Tamandua tetradactyla: one gene and its partners. The protein of the gene in region 3 interacts with the protein of the main gene of each other region in a pairwise test. Links are inferred from orthologs where the notes say so. Each region holds a gene or a part of one and is shown on either strand. Other genes may lie near its edges. The genes, in order: ZNF446, PGBD1 and ZNF496.

Region 1 (8,086 bases), on a different chromosome or scaffold from region 3:
CCGGCCCAGGCAGAAGGCCCACGTCCCCGCTGTGTGGAGTCATGCGCTCGCGGGCCAGCCCGAGCCTGGGCAGCAGCCGCTGGCGCCAGCAGACGAGACCCTCGGGAGAGCCTTCCCCTGCAGCCCGGGCCTTGGGGCTGTGCGTGCCGAGGGCGCTGAGGGTTCCAGGGCGCTTCCCCCCGGGGCAACTTGGCACGAGCCTCAGGCTCTCCCCGCCGGCCATGCGGCCGGGGACGAGCAGGGCGAGGCAGCCCCCGCGGGTCCGGACCTCCTGCCCGGCGAGAAGCTCTTCGAGTGCAGTGCGTGCCACAAGGTGTTCGTGAAGAGCTCCGACCTCCTCAAGCACCTGCGCACGCACACCGGGGAGCGGCCCTACGAGTGCCCCGAGTGCGGCAAGGCCTTCAGCCAGACGTCGCACCTCACGCAGCACCAGCGCATCCACAGCGGCGAGACGCCCTACGCGTGCCCGGCGTGCGGCAAGGCTTTCCGCCACAGCTCCTCGCTAGTGCGCCACCAGCGCATCCACACGGCCGAGAAGGCGTTCCGCTGCGCCGAGTGCGGCAAGGCTTTCAGCCACGGCTCCAACCTCAGCCAGCACCGCAAGATCCACGCAGGCGGCAGGCCCTACGCTTGCGCGCGCTGTGGCCGCCGCTTCTGCCGCAACTCGCACCTGGTGCAGCACGAGCGCACACACACCGGCGAGAAGCCGTTCTCCTGCGCGCTGTGCGGCGCTGCCTTCAGCCAGGGCTCGTCACTCCTCAAGCACCAGCGCGTGCACACTGGCGAGAAGCCGTTCGCCTGCGCGCAGTGCGGCCGCGCCTTCAGCCACAGCTCCAACCTCACGCAGCACCGGCTGCTGCACACGGGCGAGCGCCCCTTCCGCTGCGCCGACTGCGGCAAGGCCTTCGCCAAGGGCGCCGTGCTGCTCAGCCATCGGCGCATCCACACCGGCGAGAAGCCCTTCGTGTGCACGCAGTGTGGCCGCGCCTTCCGGGAGCGCCCGGGCCTCTTCCATCACCAGCGGACCCACACCGGCGAGAAGCCCGCGCGTCGGTCCCGGGCCAGGGCGCCGCCCAAGACTCCGGCCCCCGCCACTGAGGCTGCGCAGGCAAGGGGTGCGGAGCAGAGCTCCGCCGCAGGCTTGGCCCCGGGCCCGAAGCCCCCCGAGGCCTGACCCCTCCGGACCGAGCCCGTCCTCTGCGGGGCACCACTTGCAGCGTGGAGGCCCCGTCCGTCCTGCATGCTAGCCTGGGACCCCCGGCCCTGGCGCTGACCACATTAGTGGAAGGTGGGGCCAGGGCCTGTGCTTGTGGTTCTCTGCACTGGACAAACAGTCCAGAAGAAGGACTCCTGGGGCCTCAGCAGCGGCCACATCTCTCCCACTCTGCTGTTCCAGGTCAGACTCAGGATCAGCCTTGGCACTCTCACGCCCTGATCGGAGGCGCTGGCGTTGATGCAGGGGAGGTGCTGGAGAGCAGACAGAAACTGGGAGGACTTGCCCCAGTGGGGGACCGCCTCCAGAGACACGCTCCCGACACCCTTCCCCCGGTGAGCCTGGGCACTGAGCCAGGTGGTGGTAGCCCAGTTTGCTTCCTGTGGTCTGCAGCTGCTGTGTCCTAGCTGGGGGGGCCGTAATCTCAGGCAGTGAGTGCTAAGATCGAGAGGGGAGGGGCAAGACTAGGGTTCACAGCTTGGAATGGATATAAGCTGTGATTTTTTGGTGGGCAGTGTTGATGGCTTTGCAGAAATCCAGCTCCAAGGTATGGTCCAGAGTCTAAAGATGCTCCCTTAATAAAGGTTTCTTTATAGCTCTGTGTGGACGATAACGGCCTGACACCAGTTTCACTAGCACAATGCAGACATTAAACCAACATTTGCAGGCCTGCCACTGATATGTGTCATTGTCACAAAGGTTCAGGGGTTCGGCTTCGGGCTAGAGAGGCCCCGGGGCCTGGTCTGCTGCCTACGGAGGGGCTAGGAAGCCTGTGTTCCTTCAGTGGCCATATGGGCCGTGGGGTGGTGGCCCTATCGCCGCCCCTCTCCTGGGAATGAACCATGATTCAGCCCCAGGGCAAGGGAGAGAGTGGTGGGCAGAGAACCGAGGCAGAGCTGCACATTGCTTGGTGCTGATGGAGTGGAGTGTACCTGTGAGGACTGCATAAGGCTGACCCCAGCTCAGTGGTACTCATGACTCATCAGCCCCAAGACTGCAGAACCATCCCTGTCCACAAGGAGCACTCAGCCTGACCCCTACCTGCCAGCCAGGCCAGACCCACCTGCCCCGTGAATCGCAGCCCTTCAAGGAAAGTGGGCCCAGCAGTGGGAGGCACCTGACTCCCCAAGGCTCCGGGAGTCCCTGGCCCACCATCCTGTCTCCCACGCCCTGTCTAAACCTCAGTCTTGCCCACCTCCCACCCCGGTCTGGCCTCCCTCACTGGGCTGGTCCCACCAGCCTCCATCTGCACAGCTGTGAAATCTAGAGGAGCCCCCACCCCTTCTGGGGGCAGAGGCACCTTATAGATCAGAGAGCAGGTCCTAGAGTGAGTCATATGGGAACTTTTCTGTGCCTTGGATGGAAGCTCCTGAAGCCAGGCCTTTGTCCTCAGTCCTCCTTACCCTCTGTCGACATCTGGGCTGGGCTCAGCTGCCCTTTCCTCTCTCCCTACCAGCCACCAACCCCCGAATGTAGAGCTCCTTCCTGTCTCTGCACTTCTGCCTTTGCTGCCCCTTGGCTTACCCAGGTTAAGTCTGTGTCCACTGCCTCAACTCCCAATAGCACCCATGAGCACCCGCCTGCTCTTTCTATCCCACTTGTGCTTCACCTTCATGTCTTGGGTCCTCAGTTGTCCCCCCCATACACACCTACTCTTGTCAGGTTGGGCCCTGACCTGCCAGGGTGGGCCCTCCTTTACCCTGAACAGGCCTTTACTGGGAAAGTGTCCCTGGGCTTTCTGGGTCATGATGGTGGGCTGAACACATGCCTCTCACTCAGCTCAGAAACACCTCTAAAACCACAGAAAAGGGAGTGCTTAAAACACAAGCCCATAAGTTTGAAGATGATGGAGTCAATGGCAATATCATTTTGCAGCTGGAAGCAGGTGGGGGAACTGTCACTGATTTAGAAAAAGCCAAGTACTGAGTTGGCGTTAAGGGGAGTACAGGGAGGTCCCACCAGGCAAAATTCCAGAAGGCTTGTGAACCAGCAGCTCCAGCACCTCAGGAATAGGAGAGGGACTACCAACAAAGAAGACAGGGAGAGCTACTTGAGAAGCAGTTCCATCTCCGGCTCTCTCCCCACCTGGTGGACGTGGAAGATGCATTTCTGAGGAATCTGCATAGTGAAGAGGAGAGATCTCAAGATACTCCTGTTGAGATCCTCCCCCCACCCCCACCCGGGAGAGTTCACCCTGATAACTCCACAGGGAGGCTCAGAGTTAGCAAGTCCCACCCACCCATGGACTCAGCACTTCCCATCCGTGTTTAAGATCACTGCTTTTCACCATAAAGCAAGCAGCCAGGGAGTTCCAGGAATCAGAGGAAGCCAAAACAGACAAATGCAATGTAGGATAGGACAGATAAACCATGGTTCAGCCATTTGATATACAGGTGAAAAAAGGATCCCATCTCATAGTCAGATTTTAATTATGCACTGAGATAAACTAGTTTTAGTCCCCGAAATAAATCAGTCTCTCACCAAAAGTTTGAATGGAAATCTCCATCTTTCTCTTTGCAGGGCTGATGTCCAGAGACATCAGAGACTGTGAGGGATAATCACATGACCGGGGTGCTCCTTTTCTGCCGTTACAGACAATACAACCTTGATCACCTTGGTAATTCTGCAAGTTTAGTTTAGTTTAATTTTAGTTTTTAAATAACTAATGTGTTCTCATTTTGGAAGTCAATCTCCCTAGAGTCAGAGAAGCTCATCTTGGCAAATAAGTGTCTTTTCTTTTCCAAACGCATTTGTCTCTAAGTCTTCCCTTAATTGCAAAGAGCCTGTGTTTCCTACAGTGTCGTATTCACCGAAAATAAGTTAGACTTTAAATGTTTATTAAAAATGTATAAATAGAGAAACAAAAACAAAAAGTAAAGCATCCCAATCTTAACAGGGGCAAATTGAGCGGTAAGATTAACTTTAAACCTTTCCCCATTTTCCAAAGTCAGTGAAACAATGTTGTTTTTACTATTTTGTTTTCTATTACTTACTTATTTCTTATTATTAGGTTTTTGTTTGTTTGTTTGCTTTGCATGGGCAGGCACCAGGAATCAAACCAGAGTCTCCAGCATGGCAAGCGAGAATCCTACCAGTGAACCACCGTTGCACCGTCCCGTTTCCACTATGATTTTGGAATGTCATGTATTTGTTAATGTCCTGAAAGGTCGTGGCCTACGTGAGGGCCAAGGTAGTCGCTGAAGCAGTGCATGGGCGCCCAACCGAGTTCCCTCACATCCATGTGGCACTCCGCGGGGGGGCGAATAAAGAAGCCCAGCGCCTCCTCGCCCTACGCTGGGGCGGAGAACCTCCCGGGGCGACCGAGAAACACCGCGGCCAGGCCGGTCTCCGCAAGCCCGCTCCACCTGCCCCGCGACCCACATGCCCCCGAAGCTGCGCTGCAGCCAGCTCGGGCTGTCGGGAACGCACGGGACGCTTTTCGTTTCCGCGGAAACCGCGGTTGCCAAGGAGACGCTAGGGCGGGGCAGGAGGAGCGCCGGCTCTGATTGGGCAAGCGTCAGACGCGCTTGCCAATCGGCGCCGGGCCCGTCTGGCACGTGCGCAGCGTCCCAAAGCAGCGTCCGGGTCGGTGTTGGTGAGGCCCGGGGCTCGGGGGCGCGGGGAGAGAGCCGCCGGAGAGGGATGGGACTCCCAAACTTTGTGACCTGCAGGCCCCGCGTGCACGCGCCTCTCAAGCACGAGCGGGCTCTAGAAATTCGCGCCCACCGGCCAAGGCCAGGCCTCTGCGTTCTACCTGAGGCTCATAGGAAATGTAGTTCGAAGGGGGCGGGGCCTTCGAGCAGGCGCGGGATTGGCCAGAGCGCTGTCGCCATGGCAACGGGCGGGAAGGGCGGTGCGCTTGCGTAGAACGGGTGGTCGGGCAGTCCCGGGTCCGGGAAGTGGCGGTGGAGCGCCGGCCCCCCGGCTGAGGTGAGCACGGGCTGGCTGGGCGGCGCGGCCGGCCCACTCCCCCCGGGACTCTTGGCTCGCGCGCTCCGGAGCTCCCTCTTGGGTCGCGTCGCGCCCTTTTCCAGGCCGTCCCTCCTCAGCCCTGGGCCCCTCTCCGTGACGACCAACCCCCTCCCCGGTGCTTCGGGCGCCCTCGGGAGCAGAGCCCCCGGAAAGGCCGGGCTGGGGGCTCCTCTGGCTCATCTCTCCGCCCCCGTCCGGAGTTGGGCGAGGGGAGAGTTTTTTAAAACTCAGCTTAAAAACTGCACCCATCCCTCCTTTTAGAGCAGAGCAAAGACTTGGTGGGGGTGGTTCCCGCCCGCAAGCCCTCTCTGCAAGTCCGGGTGCTGGGGCTGACCCAACCCCACGCCAAGCGTGTGGCTCTGATTTGTTTTGCTTTTGCGTTTTCACACGCACAGGCCTTGCGAGTCACCCACAGTTCACGTGTTTACAAGAACGGCGTCCCGTCGTCTCCCTGGGGGCACCTGACTCTCCAGCCCGTGTTCCATATTCTGGCTGGACATTCAGCCCCTCAGGATGCCCCGTTTGGGTTGGCATCTCCGGGCGCCACTCCCACCGCTGCCCTGCCGGCCCGCACATGCCACCTACTGCCCCCTCCAGCGCCCAGTCACTCTGGATCTGCCTGTCCCTCATTCTCTTGCCCAAATATTCACTCTCCTCCCTGTTCTGCCCAACACCTTCTGAGGCTCCTCAGCCCAATCTCCAAGGCCGGTGGGGACTCTCCTTGCTCACCTGCGGGCCATTATTTCCCAACAGTCCATGGTTGTACTGAAGCGTGTGCAATTTCCTGGAAGCTCCCTGGACACCTTATCCTGGACATACGGCCCCAAGGCTTTATTTTTTCTCTGATTCCCATGACCCCCTCCCGTCCACGAAGCCTCCCAGGCCTTACCTGTGGCCCCAGGGTCCTCTTTCTGTCTTAGTCTCAGATCTCTGGGCTTGGCCGGGAGCCCATTGCCTGGCATCCTGACCCTTCCCCTTCTGCAGGTCCCACCTGGTGACTCCAAGAGAGACCCGCAGCACAGAAATGCCATCCCCCTTGGGTCCCCTGCGCCTGTCCCCAGTGGACCCCATGGCCACCCTGGAGGAGCGCGAGGCCGCGCGCCTGCAGTTCCGACACTTCCGCTACCAGGCAGCGGCAGGTCCCCGCGAGGCCCTGGCCCAGCTGCGCGAGTTGTGCCGCAAGTGGCTGCGGCCCGAAGCGCACTCCAAGGAGCAGATGCTGGAGCTGCTGGTGCTGGAGCAGTTCCTGGGCGCACTGCCCCGCGAGATCCAGGCCTGGGTGCGGGAGCAGCACCCAGACAGCCCCGAGGAGGCCACGGCTCTGGTAGAGGGGCTGCAGCATGACCCAGGGCAGCTGCTGGGCTGGGTGAGTGTGGCCAGTGCTAGTTTTTTGGAGGGACAGACCGAGGTCAGGGGCCCTGTGACTCAGTTCTTCTTCCACAGATCACAGCTCATGTGCTGGGCCTGGAGGTGCTCCCAGCAGCCCAGAAGACAGAGGAACCCCTGGGGAGCCCCCACCCCTCAGGGATGGTGAAGCCTGCTGAGGCAGCCCCCCGGGAGGGGACACAGGGCACAGGGGAGAAGCCCAGCCAGCTCGGAGTGAAGGAGGAGCCAGATGCCAACCGGCAGGACATGGGTGAGGGAGCCCTGCGCAGGGGCTGGGGCCTCCTGGATGGAACGGAGTAGGGGTCCTGGGGAGGGACATAGGGTTGCTGCCCACCATGTGGCTGGCACAGGCAGTGCCTTTTGCCTGGCCGTTGGGGAAGGCTGGAGTAGTAGCATCAACACCTGCCCTCCCCTGCGCTGTCATGGGCAGTCCCTACCCCTCTGCCCAACTTGCTCCCTAGGACCTCCAGGGCCCCCGCTTCCAGTCCGGCCTTCTGAGGGATGTGTTGGAAGCGAAGAGCCAGCCTCTGGGTCTTGTCTCCCACCCAGGATTCAGGTGAGTAGCCCTGGGGGAGGTTCAGAGGTCCCAGGTAGGAGGAGTATGTCCCTGGTGGCCGCTCCACATCCTCCCAATTCTCCTGGACCCCAGGCCAGCAGCTTTTGGTTCTTCGCTGCCTGGGAGTTGGGTCACTGTCAGCAGGGACCGCTGTCAGCAGGCCCTTGGGGACAGGGAGGCAGGCCAGCAGCCTCTCTTCCATGGCAAAGGATTTCAGCACAGGCAACAGAAACTGGTTAGAGTAGCTGGAACTCCAGTGGTTGAGGCGGGAGGCTCTCAGGTGCCTGGCGCTGTGCTGGCATCGAGGGGGGTGAGGTGACTGACCCGGTTGGGAATTCTGCATGGCAAGCACAGAGATGCCACCCTTCCTGGGACATTCTCACAGCCGGCCCTTTCCTGGGGGCTTCTTTAAGTCTAAACAGCCATAGCAGCCCCCAGGCCCAGGAGCGCTTGCCACCTGCAGAGAGGCTTGGAGGGAGGTGGCGAGTTGCTGGGGCCTGGGGGGGTCCTGCATGTCCTCTGACTTGCCCCTGTGTGTGACTGTTGAGGCTGGAGTGGCAGGAGGGGTGGGTGGGGCTCGCCACATTGTCCCTGCTGCCTGGGGCGCTGGCGGTCCCCAGGGCTGGTCTAGGGGTCTTCGGTAGAACATGGGGCGAGTGTAGCCAGGCGGGGAGGTAGGACCACGTGTCTGGGTTCCAGCCTTAGCCCTCTTGCCCCCCGGAGAGCCCAGCGCGGTGTCCAGGTTGGGATGGGCTGGCTGTGAGCAGGGTGCCTTCCGCAGAAGGAGTGGAGCCAGTTGGATGCCTCGCAGAAGGAGCTGTACTGGGACGCGATGCTGGAGAAGTACGGGACGGTGGTTTCCCTGGGTGAGGACCCCCAGGCCGTGTCTCCCACCTCACCGCCTCATCCTGGCCCGGCAGTCCCCGCCTGTCTGCAGGCCCCTCCCACACTCTCCTGGG
Region 2 (7,974 bases), on a different chromosome or scaffold from region 3:
AGTTCCCTGATCCCCTGCTCAAGTTTTTCCATTCTTTTCCCTATAGTTTCTGTTTCTTTTTGGAATTCAGATGTTCCATCCTCCAGTTCACTAATTGTAGCTTCTGTCTCTTTAGATCTACCATTGTAGGTATCCATTGTTTTTTCCATTTTTTCTTCTTTGTCCTTCACTCCCATAAGTTCTGTGATTTGTTTTTTCAGATTTTCTATTTCTTCTTTTTGTTCAGCCCATGTCTTCTTCATGTCCTCCCTCAATTTATTGATTTTGTTTTTGAAGAGTTTTTCCATTTCTGTTCGTATATTCAGCATTAGTTGTCTCAGCTCCTGTATCTCATTTGAACTATTGGTTTGTTCCTTTGACTGGGCCATATCTTCAATTTTCCGAGCGTCATCCATTATTTTCTGCTGGTGTCTGGGCATTTGATCAGATTTCCCTGGGTGTGGGACCCAGCTGGTTGAAAGGTTTTTCTGTGAAATCTCTGGGCTCTGTTTTTCTTTTCCTGCCCAGTAGGTGGCGCTCGTGGCGCTCGTCTGTCTGCGGGCCCACCAGTAAAAGATGCCGTGGCTCCTTTAACTTGCCAATCCGAATCTCGGAGTCGGCCCGGGAAACCGCGCGTGGAGTGGGGGGGTCGCCGGCCGCCGCAGCTTGGGGGAGTGCCGGTCCAAATTGCCCAGCTGGCCCGAGACGCCAAGCGTGGCGGGAGGGCCCCGCTATCCAACGTTCCCAGTCAGACCGGGGAGCCACGTGTGTGGAGGGGACCCCAGTCGCCAGCCGCCCCGGCCGGGAAAACGCGCGCCCCTCGGGTATCTCACCACAGCGGATTCTCCCTGCCCATTCAGCCGTTCCAGAATAGGGTATGCTGTCTTTTTGGTCTCTGTTGTGGCTCCGGGAGCTGTTTCCTATTGTTTCTGTTTCTTAAGTTGCTTTTCTGGAGGAGGAACTAAGACCCGCGCCTCTTACTAAGCTGCCATCTTCTCCGTCTGATAACCTTATTAATTACACTTCTTTCCCCCTGTTGGTCAGAATGGCATTGTTGATCCCATGGTACCAGGGCCAGGCTCATCCCAGGGAGTCTCTCCCATGCTGCCAGGGAGACTTTTCCTCTGGGTTTCATGTCCCACGTAGTGGGAAGGGCAATTATTTCCCTTGCAGACTTAGAGTCAGAGAAGCCACATCTGAGCAACAAAAGAGGTTGTCCGGAAGTAAGTCTTAGGCATGCCTGTAGATAGGCTAAACTTCCCCCCTATACATGTAAGCTTCACAAGAGCAAGCCTCCAGATCAAGGGCTTGGCCTATTGATTTGGATGTCCCTAATGTTTGTCACAGTATTAGATAATTTCCTAATGGTAAAGTTTAATATTTCCATATTTTTTCTCCCTTTCCTCAAGGGACTTTGTCAGTACATTTTGATTATCTGCTTACTGTATTTTAGGATGTATACAGGCATTACATTAAACTATACAGGATTAAAGGCCCTCATTCTTATTCTGGGTTCCCTGTATTTCAGTTGTTCAAGTGAGCTGTCCAGACAGGTTCTTATATTATGTACTACAGAAAAATTTAGGTTCCAGACAAAATAAACCTTTTTTCCTTTGGTGTCAAAGAGTAGGTATGGTTCTAAAATGTAGACAATGTCTTCTTTACCCCTGTATTCTGAATTACCTTAATCCCAATCTGATCAGCTTCATTCTTATCTCTAAATATCAGGTTATATATATATAAATATATATAACATATATAACATATATATATTTATATACATATATAAAATAGCCTCTTAAAATCCAGAAATAACAATTACCACTCTGGACTGAATTTGACTGCTGTAGGAGCTTACAATCTAAATGAGATAATATAATATTTGCTCTTTTGTTTCTGGCTCATTTTGCCTCAAGGTTTTGGTTTTTTTATAAGTCCATTTTTGACAAAAAAAAATTATCAGCTAAGGAGTCTTACTATGTGCAGGTTCGTGAATACATAATAGGATGTATTTTGACTCTGATCAGGCGTAGTCACTAATCAGGTGAGTCCCTCCCTCCTCCAAGTATACACCGATTCAAAGACATGTATCAGCAGTGGGTGGATAATACTTCATTCTTCTTCAGACTCACTCGAGTAGTTATAATCAAGAATGCTAAATCCCCAAGTATCCAAGGGCCTACTCCAAGGGATGGTGGTGGTGCCATTTTCTGAGTTCTTTTTTGTTATGCTGTGTTTGAGAGGCTTTTATAGGGTGTCTAGATACCAAATAACCAGAAGGAAACATGTATCAGGCACTCTTGATAGATCTGGACTGAAAAATAAGGAAATCCTCAGAATAAAGACAGTAATTGAAGTCACAAACACTCCTAACTTCTGGCCTGTCTCTCTCCTTTTGTTCAGTGTCTTACTTCTTGAAAAGAGTAATTTTTGCTCACTCTCCATTTTCTCATTTACCCATGTCAATCTGGCTTTTCTCTCCATTTCTCTACTAAAATTGCTTTCAAAGAAGTCATCAGTGACCTCTGTGATTTTGAATCAAGTGGATAATAAGTCAGGTCTCAGTTTAATTTACTTTCTTATAGCATTTCCCACTCTTGATCATTGCCGTCTTATAAATCCATTTATAAATCAATGAATTCCTATTCTTCACAATTATTATCTCATTTACCTCAAAACATCTCTGTGAAAGAGTGAACCCTGATGTAAACTATGGATTGTAGTTAACAGTATAATAATTTGCATCAGTGGTAACAAAGGTACCACACTAATGCAAAACCATTCTCTCTGTAAAACCTTTTCACCATATTTATACCTGACCACCTTTCACTTTTCTTTTAAGACTTAGAAGGATTCACCTCCAAGCTTTTTCAGATCTGCTGTGAGGAATTAGGTATCTTACCTCTGTGCCTACTAGCATCCTGTGCATACCTTCACAGTAAAACTCAGTGCACTGAATTGCAATTGCTTGTTTCCCTGAGGTGTCCTGAGAAGCAGAGAACTGTTTGAGGCTAGGGGATTGTCTTTCACCTCTGTGTCCCCAGCATCTAAGAGATTCTGGTAGGTAGTAGACAGATTGTAAATGAGATGAGTTATGCAAATCCTTGTGTTCTTTTAGTTAATTCTATTGATTTAGCTTTAGCTCATATATCAATAGTATACAGTCAGTTCTTATTATTTGCAGATTCCATATTTTTGAATTCACCAACTTGCTAAAATATATTTGTAATCCCCAAATCAATATTCACAGTGCTTTTGAAATCACTTGTGGACATGCATAAAGAGTGAAAATATGAGTCACCCTGTACACGTTCCAGCCAAGATCAAGCAAGGTGATGCTTTCCTTGTTCAGTTCTCATACTAAAAACGTTTTTGTTGTGTATTTGGTACTATTTTTTTTGTATTTTTTTAATTTTTGCTTAAAGTGGCCCTGAATGAAAGCTGTCTTATGTCCCTAAGCACAGGAAGGCTGTGATGTACCTTAGAGAAAATACATGTGTTATATGAGCTTTGTTAGGGCATGAATTACAGTGCTGTTGGCCATGAGTTCAATGTTAATGCATCAACAATATATATCAAATAAGGTGTCTTTAAATAGAAGTATGCATAAAACAAGACTATGTGTTATTTGGTTGATGAGAATATGGTGACCAGAGGCTCACAGGAACCTAACTCTGGATTTCCCTTAGGAGAAATGGTTCAGTTTTTACTAATTCTCTGTTCACAACAACTTTATAGACTACAACTACTGCAAATAATGAGAATTAACTGTATTTATTTTGTGTCTTTGTGTCTTTCCCCCCAACTTTTTGAGAAATTTCAAATTTACAGAAAAGTTGACGTACTACGAGTAGTACCTATTTACCTTCTCATTTAGCAGTAGTAGTGAATTTCCTGCTATATTTGTGCACTCTCTCCACACCAACCCACTCATACTTTTTTCCTGAAACATTTGAAGATAAGTTTTAGCATGCATTCTCCTGAGAATAAAAATATTCTCGTATTTACTACAAAACTGTTATCCCTCAGAAAAGACTAAAAAGAAGTTGGCAAACTTTTTCTTTAAAAGGCCAGACAGTAAATTTTTTTTGTATTTGCATGTCATAGAATTTCTGCACCTACTTAACTTTGCCATTGCAGTTCAAAAGCAGACATAGATAGTATATAAACAAATGGGTATAGCTTGTGCTTCAGTAAGACCTTATGCTCAACAAGATTTGAGCTGTTTTTGACTTGCTGGACCATAGTTTGCCTACCCCAAATCATAATATTCAAATTTCCCTAATTTATAAAATATATATATATATATATATATATATATTTCACACATTGATTGCATTTAGTTTTCTCTGTAATTCTAGACCTGTACCCTCTCCATACCTTTTCTTTATTTTTGTGGAATTGTTGGTTTTGAACAGTCCATGCCTCTTGTAGAAAGGGCTACATTCTGGATTAATTCAAAAGCTTCCTCACTATTAAATTCATGTCAAGCCTTTTAGAAAAATTGCTACATAGGTAATGAGGCACATGATGTCTGATTGTCTTGCTACTTGTAATTTCCTAAGTTTGATCATTTGGCTAAGTTTGTGACTGCCAGATAATTCCAGTTTTTCCTTTTGTAACTAGTAAGAATCCATGTGGTGATACTTTGATACTGCAGGAATGTCCTGGACCCCTACTCCATTCACATAGTGGTTTTAACAATCATTTGTGGTACTTCACTAGATGATTTACGGCTATGAAATGATGAGTTTGTATATCTATTATTCCTTCTATATTAGCTGGCAATCTTCTATAAGAGAGTTTTGTCATTTTTGTATGTGCCTTTTTTTAGGAATGGTTGTTTAGAAGAGATTAAAAAGGATAGTAGCTTTTGGAAATGCATCAACCCAAGAAGGGAATATTGCTGTTGTTATTACTACTGTTATTACTGTTTCTGTAACTCTTATTGTTACATGTTTAGGACTATCCCTGAGGAGACAATCCAAAGAAAATTCTCTAAAACGGAGAAAGCAGTTTAAAGCTGGAGATGGCAACAGTAGAGGTGAGTGCTCGCCCCCTGGCTCCCCAGAATCTGAAGGAGGAGGGGCTTTGGGTAGTGAGGGAGGATCACTGCTCTGCTTGGGAACAGGAATTCAGGCTGCAAAGAAAAAGCAAAGACCTTGGTCAGGAGATGTTGTGCAAACAATTCAGGCAGTTCCACTATGAAGAGACCTCAGGACCTCGACAGGCGCTGAGCTGGCTCCAGGAGCTCCGCCTTCTGGCTGTGGCCTGAGATCCCAGCAAGGAGCAGATCCTGGAGCTGCTGGTGCTGGAGCCGTCCCTAAGCATCCTGCCCGAGGAGCTGTGGGCCCAGGTGTGAGAGCATCACCCAGCGAACGGGGAGGATGCAGGCACTGTACTGAAAGGTTTGGAGCCAGAGCTTAGAGAAGCAGGACAAGAGGTGGTAAAGGTCAGGTTTGTTCTTTCACATAAAAGCAGGAAGTGAGACCTCTGACCAGTGGGAGAATTGCTAAACTTGTTTGTTTAGTTTCTTTCCAGTTTGGCTGTTCATTTCTGGGGGTCTCACCTCAACCTTATCTGTTCTCTGCTGTGAGGAGGCTGAATTGAATAATTTCCAGATTCCTCATCTCCTTTTCTTTGCTCCTTTAGGTTTGTCTTTGTTCTTTTTTCCAACATTGAAGTGTTTTTCTAAAGAGCAGTTCCCTCTTAAGCCCTCCTGTACCTAATTGTCCCTAGGACCCAGACCAGACAAAGAAACAGAAAATACCTGTGGAGGAGATGGCCCCTGTGAGAGCAATGCAGGAGCAGCAGGTCCAGCCGAAGTGTGAAGTTCAAAGGCCTGAAAAAGAGAAGGGTGAGAAATGGAGAGCATCTTCTGTTGTGTGAGATGTGGTGGCCATTGCGTTCCCCACTTGAGGCCGATTTAGCACCCTTGATACTGTGTTTGGAATCAGGTTTATTGAGGTATAGTTTACATACAGGAAATTTCACCCTTTTTAAGGGTACAGGTCAGTGAGTTATCACAAATGTGAAATGATAAGTCATATGATCATGACTGGAGCAGATTTGGAAATCAGATAGGGAAGTAGCTTGCTTTTCTTCCTTTTACTATAGAGATAATTTTTCTATAGTATTTCCTTTTGCAATAGAGAGGATAGAGAAAGTAGTGTTAGTTTCTCACAGAAGGCAAACAATCTCAGCCACAGGCTATATTATTCATTTTCTTATTATCTCCTTAAAATTATTATAAGTGGCTACTGTCTTTTATTTCTAAATGTCATCAGGATTTTTTTTCTCTACTATATTTTCTTTGTCACTAAAATTCCTCTATCCAATTTGTATTCCTTAAATTTTTCTTTTCTTCCTTCTATTCTGATAGAGCCCCACTTCTCTTTTTATTTTAGTGTCATCATAGTACTCCCATTGATGTTAAACTTAACCACCATAATTTAAACACAAATTCAGTAAGGTGGCTCCCATGTTTAAAATCTTTCAGTGCTGGGTAATGTTATTTTCTCTACTTTTTTTGGATGTTGGAAAAATTCTATACTAGAAAGTAAAAAACAAAAGTAAGGGGAAAAAAACACCACCTTCAGAGACTCCCCGTTGCCACTGACCAAGGCCTCACATAGCATGGGCCGCTATTGGCTCCCTACCCAGCCTTGTGTCACTAGGGTGACCAGTTTGTCAAGACTGTTAACGTCCTGGGAAACCCCTCAGTTCACACATGCTCAAACTGTGTTCCCATCATGCTGAGGTTCATTCCATTTCCCATGTGCTTCCTATCTCTTCTGAGTCATTGCTGCCTTGTTTCTTTTGTCTGGAACACTTTTTCCTCACTCTTCCTGGCTAATACATAGTCATTCTTCAGGACCTATCTTCGATATCGTTTCCTCTGTCTTTCCTTAAGATCCTCAAGGCTGAGTTAGTTTTTCCACCTATGTTCCTAGAGCCCCAAGATTTCTCCTGTGGTAGAACTGATTATATTATATTATAGTTGCTGGTTTGCTTTCCCCCCTCCCCAGGCATTACTTCCTCTTTTCTCCCAGCAGGGATTTTGTTTTGTTTCCTGAGTCAGTCCCTGGCCTAGAGTAGACACTCAGTAAATGTCTATTCAGTAAATGGCTGGTATTATATATAAAACTGTCCTTTACCTACTAGCTACTTCCCTATTTAATTTCCACGTCTGCTTCAAGGGTTACCTTCTGTGAGCCTTCTGAGTAAAGTAGCTGAAAGAGATGGACTTAACTTTTCTGAATAATCTTGCAGGAATTTATGCCATGTAATGATAGGTATGTATTTTAAATATGAAGAATTAATGTGATGACACTATATTCTTGAAAATATTCTGTATCTTTTGGATCTTATTGAATATTGTATTTTATGTCCAAAGTTCAGGTTAGTTTTTAGTTTCAGAGTTCGCTTCCCTTTTTGTTTTTATTCCCTCTCCTTAACTCATTCTTACCCTCATGAGGCAACTTCATTCTCAGTGATAAAATTAGTCTACATTTCTTCATTTTCAGTTAAAGGGTTATCCCTTTGCCATACCTTTCTTATGAATTCCAGTCCTTAACTAAGCTAGCTTTTCTACTCTCCTTGTGACAAACCATTTTCAAAAATGTACATCTGTACCCTTTAAGATGGTTTGTTTGTTTGCTAGCTTATGTATGTGCATGCATGTATCACAAAATAAAAGGCAACCTCTGTTAATTTCTTATGTATCTTATATAGTTTATACAGATGCAAGCATACATATTTTTCACTTTTCAAACATGTTTGATTTTAAACTTTCCCTCCTAGTTTATAGATTCCTTTCCCTAAGCCTAAATAAAACATGTGATTGGTGGTATATCTTAATATTTCAGATAAGGAGATGAGGACTGAGAATAGAAGGCTGGTTGTAGAGACAGACTTTTGTGGATCAGTGAAATCATCTGGGAAATTATCTGAGCCCATAGAAGCTCATTATGAGGATTCTAACTTGGAAAGGCA
Region 3 (7,546 bases):
AGAAAATGCTCCTGCGGAAGCTGTTTGAAACCAGAAGCCAAAGGACCACTTCCCAGCTGACAGAGGTGTTCCAGAAACCATCAGCCTTCTGACTCAAGAAAGGTTTACTCTGGATGCCTTAATTTGAACATTTTTATGGGTTTAGAACTGTAAATTTGTAACATAATAATAAATCCCCTTTATTAAAGCCAATACATTTCTGGTATATTGCATTCCGGCACACACTTGCAAACTAAAACTGTGCACTTCACTATATACAGTTCACTTTCAATATTATGCATAATATGTTATTTCCTTTGCTACATTCAAATCACATTTTCACTCTGTGAAATAAGCCTCACACTTTCCTCTCCAGCTCTGCGCACTGCTCCCACCAGCACCATGCTCTCCTCCCTCTTGGCTGAGGATCTTCCTGGAGCCTAGACACACACAGGAAAAGCTAGCACAGATTCCCACTGTCCCACCATCGCACTTCCTACTGACATGCCTTGGTCCCCAGTCTTTGCCCTTCCTGCTTCTCCCTCCACGGCAGCACTTCCACATGGGCTCTGGACCCCATCTCCTCCACCGGCTCCAGCTCCTGTTCTTGCCCATCCCCTCCCTCATCCTGGTCACGCACTGAAACTTCTTCCATTTTTAAGACGAAACCCCACTTCCCTTAGCTACTTGTCTCTGCCCCACTCGCAATACTTCCTCACCTCTTCTTTCTCTCCAAAACTCTCTGCAGAACCAGTCACCCCACTGCATTCCCTCCACTCACAGGGCCTCTGCTCGCAAATGCCATGACCAGGTTTCTCTCATCTAATTTGATCTCACAGCAGCATTTAACATCCTTGACACCTCCTTTACCTTGAAACACACTTGCTTCTCTGGGATTCCAAGGCAGCACATTCCCCTAGTGTCCCTCTACCTCACTCTGCCTGGTGTTTCAATATTGCTGTTTACCAGGATATAGTCCTTGGGCTGCTTCTCTACTTGGCATTCATTCAAGATCAGGGCCCCACAGTCAATCCCAGGAGTCAATTCTAGCTATGTGCTGTGACTCCCAGATTTCCACCGCCAGCTTCAGCTTTCTCCCGAGAGTCATCACTATTTAGGTATTGGCATCTCAAATCAACAAGTTCAAAACCAACCATGGTTCGCAACTCCTTCCAGAACCATTTTTTCTAACAACCCAAACTGAAAGATGACTCCTCCATCTATCCAAACCCAAAATATAGATCCACTTTTCACTCCTCTAACACCTTACATTAACCATCCAGGAAATCTTCTCGGCCCTGTGGAATCCAGCTACTGCTCATTAACTCCATCTCCATCTCTACCAGCCAACTCTTTAGTTACCACTACCTCTTACCTGGATTTCTGCAATGGCTTTTAATGGGGCACCTGCTTCCACTCTGGTTCCTCCAATCTGACCCCACAGTGATCGTGTTACGATGAAAATCAAATCAGGGCATGCCTCTACCTGAAACCTTCCGAGTGTAAACTCCAATCACCTCCACGGTCCTCTGTGCTGGCTATTTCAGCCTCAATGCCCTCATGCCATTCTTTGACATTGCTGAGCAAACTCCTTCTCCCCAGCCTTTTCACATGCCGTTCCCTCCACTGGCATGTTCTTCCTGCACACACCGGCAAGATTTGCCTTCCACTCAACTTTGCTCTCTGTTCAAATGTCATCTCATCACAGGTGCCCTACCTAACCTCTCAGCAATTTTTTCATAGTACTTATCCCAAATGACATTATATTGCATAGTCATTTATTCATTATCTGATTCCCCTTCCCATTTCTTAAATCTTGAAGTTAGGATCTTTCTTCTATTATGGTGTGTCTCTGAGGATGAAACATCACTGTCACACAGTAAATATTTCACAAAAATATGCAAACTCAACAACATAAAGCCAAATACAGATATAAATTTGATGGTGGCTGAGAGTGTTTGAGCAGGTTTTATGTGGGGGGTATTCCTATCTTTACCTGTGGTATCTGCTTCAACCACATTTAGCACAGAGGAAGACACCTTCCCATAGCCTTTAGTACCCCACCCTGAGCTCTCCGATGTCCCTCTCCCCTCTCATTGGCTGCTCTGCTCTGCCCACCTCAGGGTCTTTGCCTTCCTGTCTCTGTGGCCTCTACTTGGGATCCTGTTAACACAGCTATGACCTTGATAAACACCCTCACCTCAAAAGTCACCTTTCCAGAGATGCCTGCCTTGACCTCATACATCACATGGTTAGACTGGTATCAGGAAGGACATCCCAAGGGCCTAGAGATCACCTCCCAATAGCTGAGGTTAAAGGCCAACCTCGCTTTGGATTAAATTCTTTACTGCAGAGTACTCAATACATGTCTGTTGAACGAATGAATGAACTTTCCCAGCCCCCCAATAAGGTAGATAGCATCATTCCTATTTTCCAGACAAGGAAACCAAGTGACATAAAAGTTTAACAGGTCTGGCATCACCCAGTTAGAAGTGGCAAGTCACCCAGGACTCAGACTCTTAACCACCCTGCTGAGCTAAATAATTAGAAATGCAAAGTAAGGGTGTATTCTGTACTACAAAGGGTTAACACTGAGGGGGTCACCTGCCTAGAGAGGTATTAGTTCAGGGAAGAAACTGGACTGGGCAGTGGGGACTGATACTGTGCTGCACCAACAATCTCTGGGCCCTGCACTTTCTCTGCCTTTGTCCTGCAGAGAGCAGAGCCATGCGTGCCCAAGTCCCAAACACTGGTAAGCTGGTTCCCTGGCTGTCACAGGGTTGGGACTAGGTAAGGCAGGTAGGTTCGGCCTTCACTGATGACAGCTGTGTATTCCTGGTTCCTCCCTGGATCTCTCCTGCTGAAGAAGAGAAGTAGGAGAAAGGAGCTGTGCCTGGCTGAAGCTCCTCTGAGAGCAGTGTGCCTGAATACTGCAAAAGCTGAGGCCAGTTAAATCAGAAACGTGCCTTTCTTACTGGTTTTCTCCTGTTCCAGGTAAGATAAGATAAGTGACTCTGTCCACTTTTGGCTGTCCTTTTGGGGACTCTTCATGAACAAGAGCTTCATTTCTTCGATTTAGTCCATCTGCTGTTAAAGCCACAGAATCTGGGCATTTGACAAATGGTAGCTGGCAGTAACTGTTGATTAGGACGCCTGTGTTGTAGAGGAAGAGACAGACGGAGGCCTCCTGAAGCAAGGACACCAGGAGAGCAGCACTGCTGACGGACCCGGTTCTGGCCTGTCAAATTCATGCTCCCTAAACCTTCTTGGCCAGACCACCTTCTTTTGGGGGACAACTTTTATTCTCCTTGCCCTTGAAACAGGGTCAGAAAGAAAACGAAACCACGGCAATCCAGTCTGCTTGTGGCAGCTGGAGGATTTTCTGTTGTATCTTCTCCTACACTGCAATTTCACTGCAGGATGATGGTGAAAGAGAAGGGGAGGTGGTTTCCCATCTGCCTGGGAATCGGACCTTCTCAGGCCCTTGGGCAAAGCTTTCTCCAGAGCACTCCCAAGACTGGGAAATTAGGAAGACACCTCAGAGCCCTTATGTTATATTTCACCTGCGCAGGTTGGGGGCAAACAACTCTGAATAAAGCTGGAAGCTCTAAGCCCTGTTCACCCCTCACCAAAGATGACTTTGGATGGAGCCCCTTAATCTTTGCGTCCTCCTCAGTTGAAACATCCCGAACCCTCACTATTAAGCAGTGACTGAGCACCCCGACCACCCATTCTGGGCCGATAACATGGCAGCCCCTCTGTCCACACCACGTGTCGTTCTAATGCTCAGAAGGACGATTTGGTGGGTATTCCTGAACTGTGAAACCCCGGAAACGTAAAAATCTCAGTAATCGGTGTCACCCCGAGAAAGGCTGAGACCTCGGGCTTCCCTACAGCGTGGGACTATGGGCAGCAGAGAGGGTATCTGATCTGCTCCACTCCTTTCCTCGTGGGCTGCTGCCGACTAGGCTTTTAAGGGACATTTTAACCGGGAGGTGGGTTGGGCCTGCCTCGGTGGGTAAGGGAAGAAGTAGCTGAAGCGCGTCAGGAAAGCGCCGAGGGCGATTCAGAAATGGGGCCGCCCAAGGAGCCGCGGAGCTCCTCCCTGCGCTCCCCGTCCAGCTCTTCCCAATTCGGTGTGGAGCCGCTGCTCCGGGGTCGGTTCTTGGCGACGCGCCGGCGTCCCCTTAGGGAACTGCACGGGGCAAAATGGGGGAGGCAGATAAGAACCTAGACCTTCCTGGATCCGAAGCTTTCCCGGCGCGGCGGTAAGACGGCACCACACCAGCCCCCCCGGGCCGCGGCGCTCGACCCCACCGCGCCGCCCCTCGCCGCGCCCTCCGCGCCTCCCGCCTCCCGCCCTTCCAGCGCGCACCACACCCCCGGGGCTGCGCCCGCGGTAGGCCCGGCGGCGCGCGGCGCGCCCTGGGTCCCGCGCAGGACAAAGCCCCCGGCCGGGGCGCGGAGGCCCGGGGCCCGCGCGGGGCGGGGCGGGGCGGGGCGGGCCCGGGGCCGGGGGTGTCGGATGTCACCCCCGGCGCACACCTCGGCCGGGGGGCGGGGGAGCGAACCACTGAGATGCGGAGACCTCCCCCGTCCTAGAGCGGAGCAGGAAGTGTCCCAGGGGAGGGAGCCGGAGGGCTCCGGCCTTTCCTTTCCTCCGCGTCCGGCGGGCTCCGGCAGCCGCCAGGCCTGTGCCGCCCGCGAACGGGGACGCGCCGCCGCGGTGAGTGCCGGCCGCGCGGACCTGGCCCGGGGTCTCTGCGTCCCGCCCCGCTCGGCGCCCGCGCGGCTCGGCCCCTTCCGCGCGCCCGGCCCCGGGTCCCAGCCGCGCAAGCACCGCCTCCCATCCCGGAGCGGGTGTCCGGGCGTCTGCGGGCGGGGAGGGACTCTAAATCTACTGGTTTTTATTTTTTATTTTCTTCCCCAGGCGTCTCCATTTCCTCCCAGTCCTTCCCTCCCAGACGGAGAGGCGGCTTTCTGGACGTGCAGGAGACGGAGTCGGGGAAGGAGTCGGGGCCCCTGCGGAGAATCCGCCTCCGGAAGGACGCCGAGGAGCCTGGGCTGGGAGGATGAGGAGCTGCTGCCTTGGACTTTCACCGCAGCGGGAAGGATTCGAGTTAGACGCTGGGAAGGCGTTGCAGGCTGTAAGGTGAGAGTCCTGGAGCCGGTTGCAGCTGCGGGTGTGCATGAGGAATTGTGTGTGTGTGTGTAGGTGATGTATATGTGTGTGGGCGCGCGCGCTCTCCAGCGCCGGAGGATGTGTGTGGGTTTGTGAGACTGTGTGTGTGCTAGGGAGGATGCGTGTTGCAGAGGTGTGTGTGAGTGTGTATGGGTGTGTGAGGAAAAAATGTGTCTGTCTGAGAATGGGATGTAAGGCTTTCACCTTTCTCGGGCCCCAGATGCCCTCCCTTTTCTGTTCTGCTAATCCAGGTCTGGTCCTCCTCCAAGAGCTGTTTTAAACATGCCTGTTCAGGAACCCTTCCCTGATTAACTAGTTCATTCATCAGGCATTTGCTGTTGAGTCTCCTGTGAGCCAGGTGCCAGAGTGACAGAGAAGAACGCCACTGCCAGGCGATCCACAGGCTACCCAAAGGGCAGCTCTTCAGGGCCTGGGAGCTGAAGGTGGGACTGGTCCCCCCAACCTGCCAGAGTAGGGGCCGACCTGAGTGCCCGAGGGAATTGTGGGAAAGAGAGGGCCACTTCGGGGCCCTACAGGTTGGTGATGGCTGAGCTCAGGGAAGGTGGAGACCAGACTGGATTCCAGACACCAGAGCAAACTGAAGGGAGTCTAGGAGTTGGGTAAGCTGATGAAGCAGCTGGCCAGAGACCTTCAGACCCCTCTTTTCCAATTCATGCTTGTTTATTTGTTTCAGACATTTTCTATTGCAAAATATATATACGAAACAGCAAAATTTCAAAGTATATTGTAACATGTAGTTATAGAACAGATTTCAGAGTTTGGTATGGGTTACAGTTCCACAATTTTAGGTTTTTACTTTTAGCTGCTCTTAGACTCTGGAAACTAAAAGAAATATCAATCTAATGATTCAGAAGTCATACTCATTTGTTAAATTTTACCTTCTCTGTTATAACTCCTCTTTCTCCCAATATTTAGGGGTATTTGGACTCTCCCCTTTCTGTTTCATGTTGAAAATGGGTATCAGTGATCTGGGAGAGTGGAATGGAACTAATTGATATTCTTGATGAGGCTGGCCCTTCTGGATTTCAGGACTTATCTGGCCTAGGAACCCATTTGGAGGTTGTAGGCTTTTGGAAACTTTTGTAGATCTCACATAAAGCCCTAGATGTTCTTTAGAGTTAACGGGAATGGTTTTCATTAGGGATTGGCAAACCATGGTAGTTAGCAATGTCTAGCTAAAGCTAGCATAAGAGTAGCCTCTAGAATAGCCTCTTGACTCTATTTGAGCGCTCTTAACTACTAATAGCTTATTTTGTTACATTTCCCCCTTTTGGTCAGAAAGGTATTATTAATTCCACAGTGCCAGGATCAGGCTATCTCTGGGAGTCATGTCCCACATTACCACGGAGACTTTTACAACCTGGATATCATGTCCCACATAGTGGGAGGGCGATGATTTTACTTGTGGAGTTGGGCCTAAAGAGAGAGAGGCCACATCTGAGCAACAAAAGAGGTTTTCTGGAAGCAACTCTTAGGCATTGCTATAGGTAGACTAAGCTCTACTACAGAAATAAGCTTCACAAAAGCAAACCTCAGCATCAAGGGCTTGGCCTATTGATTTGGGAGTCCCTAATATTTGAGGCAGTATAAGGGGTTTCCCTCAATATTTGAGACAGTATAAAAGTTTCCCTCTTGGTAAAACTTAATAGTTCCATATTTTTTCTTCGTTCCTCAAGGGACATTGCCCGACATACTATGGGATGTATCTGGGCATTACATTATGCTATGCAGAATTAGAAGCCCTCATTCCCATTCTGGGCTCCTTGTGTTTGAGTTTGAGCTATCTAGACTGGTTAAGTTAGATTATATGGTACAGAAAATTTAGATTTTGAACAATATAAACCTCTCTTCCTTCACCTAGAATAGGTGAAATTCTGAAATACAGACAGTTGTCCTCCTTACCCCTGGATTCTGATTTACCTTGGTCCTGATTCTTTCGGTTTTGTTCTTATCCCTAATTGAAGCCTGATCTCTTTTTGGTTTCTTTAACAGTTGTTGTATGTAGCAATGCTGACTTTCAGAGCTGCAGAACTCCAACTCCCGAGTCTTAGGTGTCACACAGGTAGCCAGCGTTCTAGGGATATAACAGGTTACATATATAGAGCACAGAATCTCAAATTCTATAAATAATATTAAGATCTCTAGACTAAATGTAACCACTATAAAAGCTTACAGTGTAGGCCCCAGTTTTCTCATAGGTGTTTTGCACCACATAATGTCCCCAAGGTTCATTAACTTTATTCGGTCATATGTATACACCATAGTTTGCCATACTGCTTCTCAGTAAATGTATCCTTCAGCCACTCCATCCATTGGGCATCATATATAATGTCCAAAGTCAACAATCCATCATTTCATACTTAT

The links.
Region 1: the proteins of ZNF496 (region 3) and ZNF446 interact in binary tests that used the Homo sapiens proteins (3 or more experiments, as listed by UniProt). The two-hybrid records come from large-scale screens. The link is inferred for Tamandua tetradactyla from reciprocal best matches to the Homo sapiens genes ZNF496 and ZNF446.
Region 2: the proteins of ZNF496 (region 3) and PGBD1 interact in binary tests that used the Homo sapiens proteins (3 or more experiments, as listed by UniProt). The two-hybrid records come from large-scale screens. The link is inferred for Tamandua tetradactyla from reciprocal best matches to the Homo sapiens genes ZNF496 and PGBD1.

The regions. Positions count from the first base shown.
Region 1 is NC_135342.1:176,420-184,505, reverse strand, and holds the start of ZNF446 (zinc finger protein 446), read left to right. Parts: upstream 1-5,063; 5' UTR 5,064-5,143; intron 5,144-6,169; 5' UTR 6,170-6,209; coding exon 6,210-6,551; intron 6,552-6,628; coding exon 6,629-6,821; intron 6,822-7,032; coding exon 7,033-7,127; intron 7,128-7,908; coding exon 7,909-7,993; intron 7,994-8,086. Other genes in the region: uncharacterized protein LOC143658493, read left to right, coding at 1-1,174. UniProt on the Homo sapiens protein: May be involved in transcriptional regulation.
Region 2 is NC_135331.1:194,888,178-194,896,151, reverse strand, and holds the start of PGBD1 (piggyBac transposable element-derived protein 1), read left to right. Parts: upstream 1-4,940; 5' UTR 4,941-5,008; coding exon of another isoform or gene 5,009-5,023; intron 5,024-5,718; coding exon of another isoform or gene 5,719-5,836; intron 5,837-7,847; coding exon of another isoform or gene 7,848-7,974. Other genes in the region: ZSCAN26 (zinc finger and SCAN domain-containing protein 26), read left to right, coding at 5,009-5,023, 5,719-5,836, 7,848-7,974.
Region 3 is NC_135346.1:61,784,770-61,792,315, reverse strand, and holds the start of ZNF496 (zinc finger protein 496), read left to right. Parts: upstream 1-4,494; 5' UTR 4,495-4,705; intron 4,706-4,909; 5' UTR 4,910-5,131; intron 5,132-7,546. UniProt on the Homo sapiens protein: DNA-binding transcription factor that can both act as an activator and a repressor.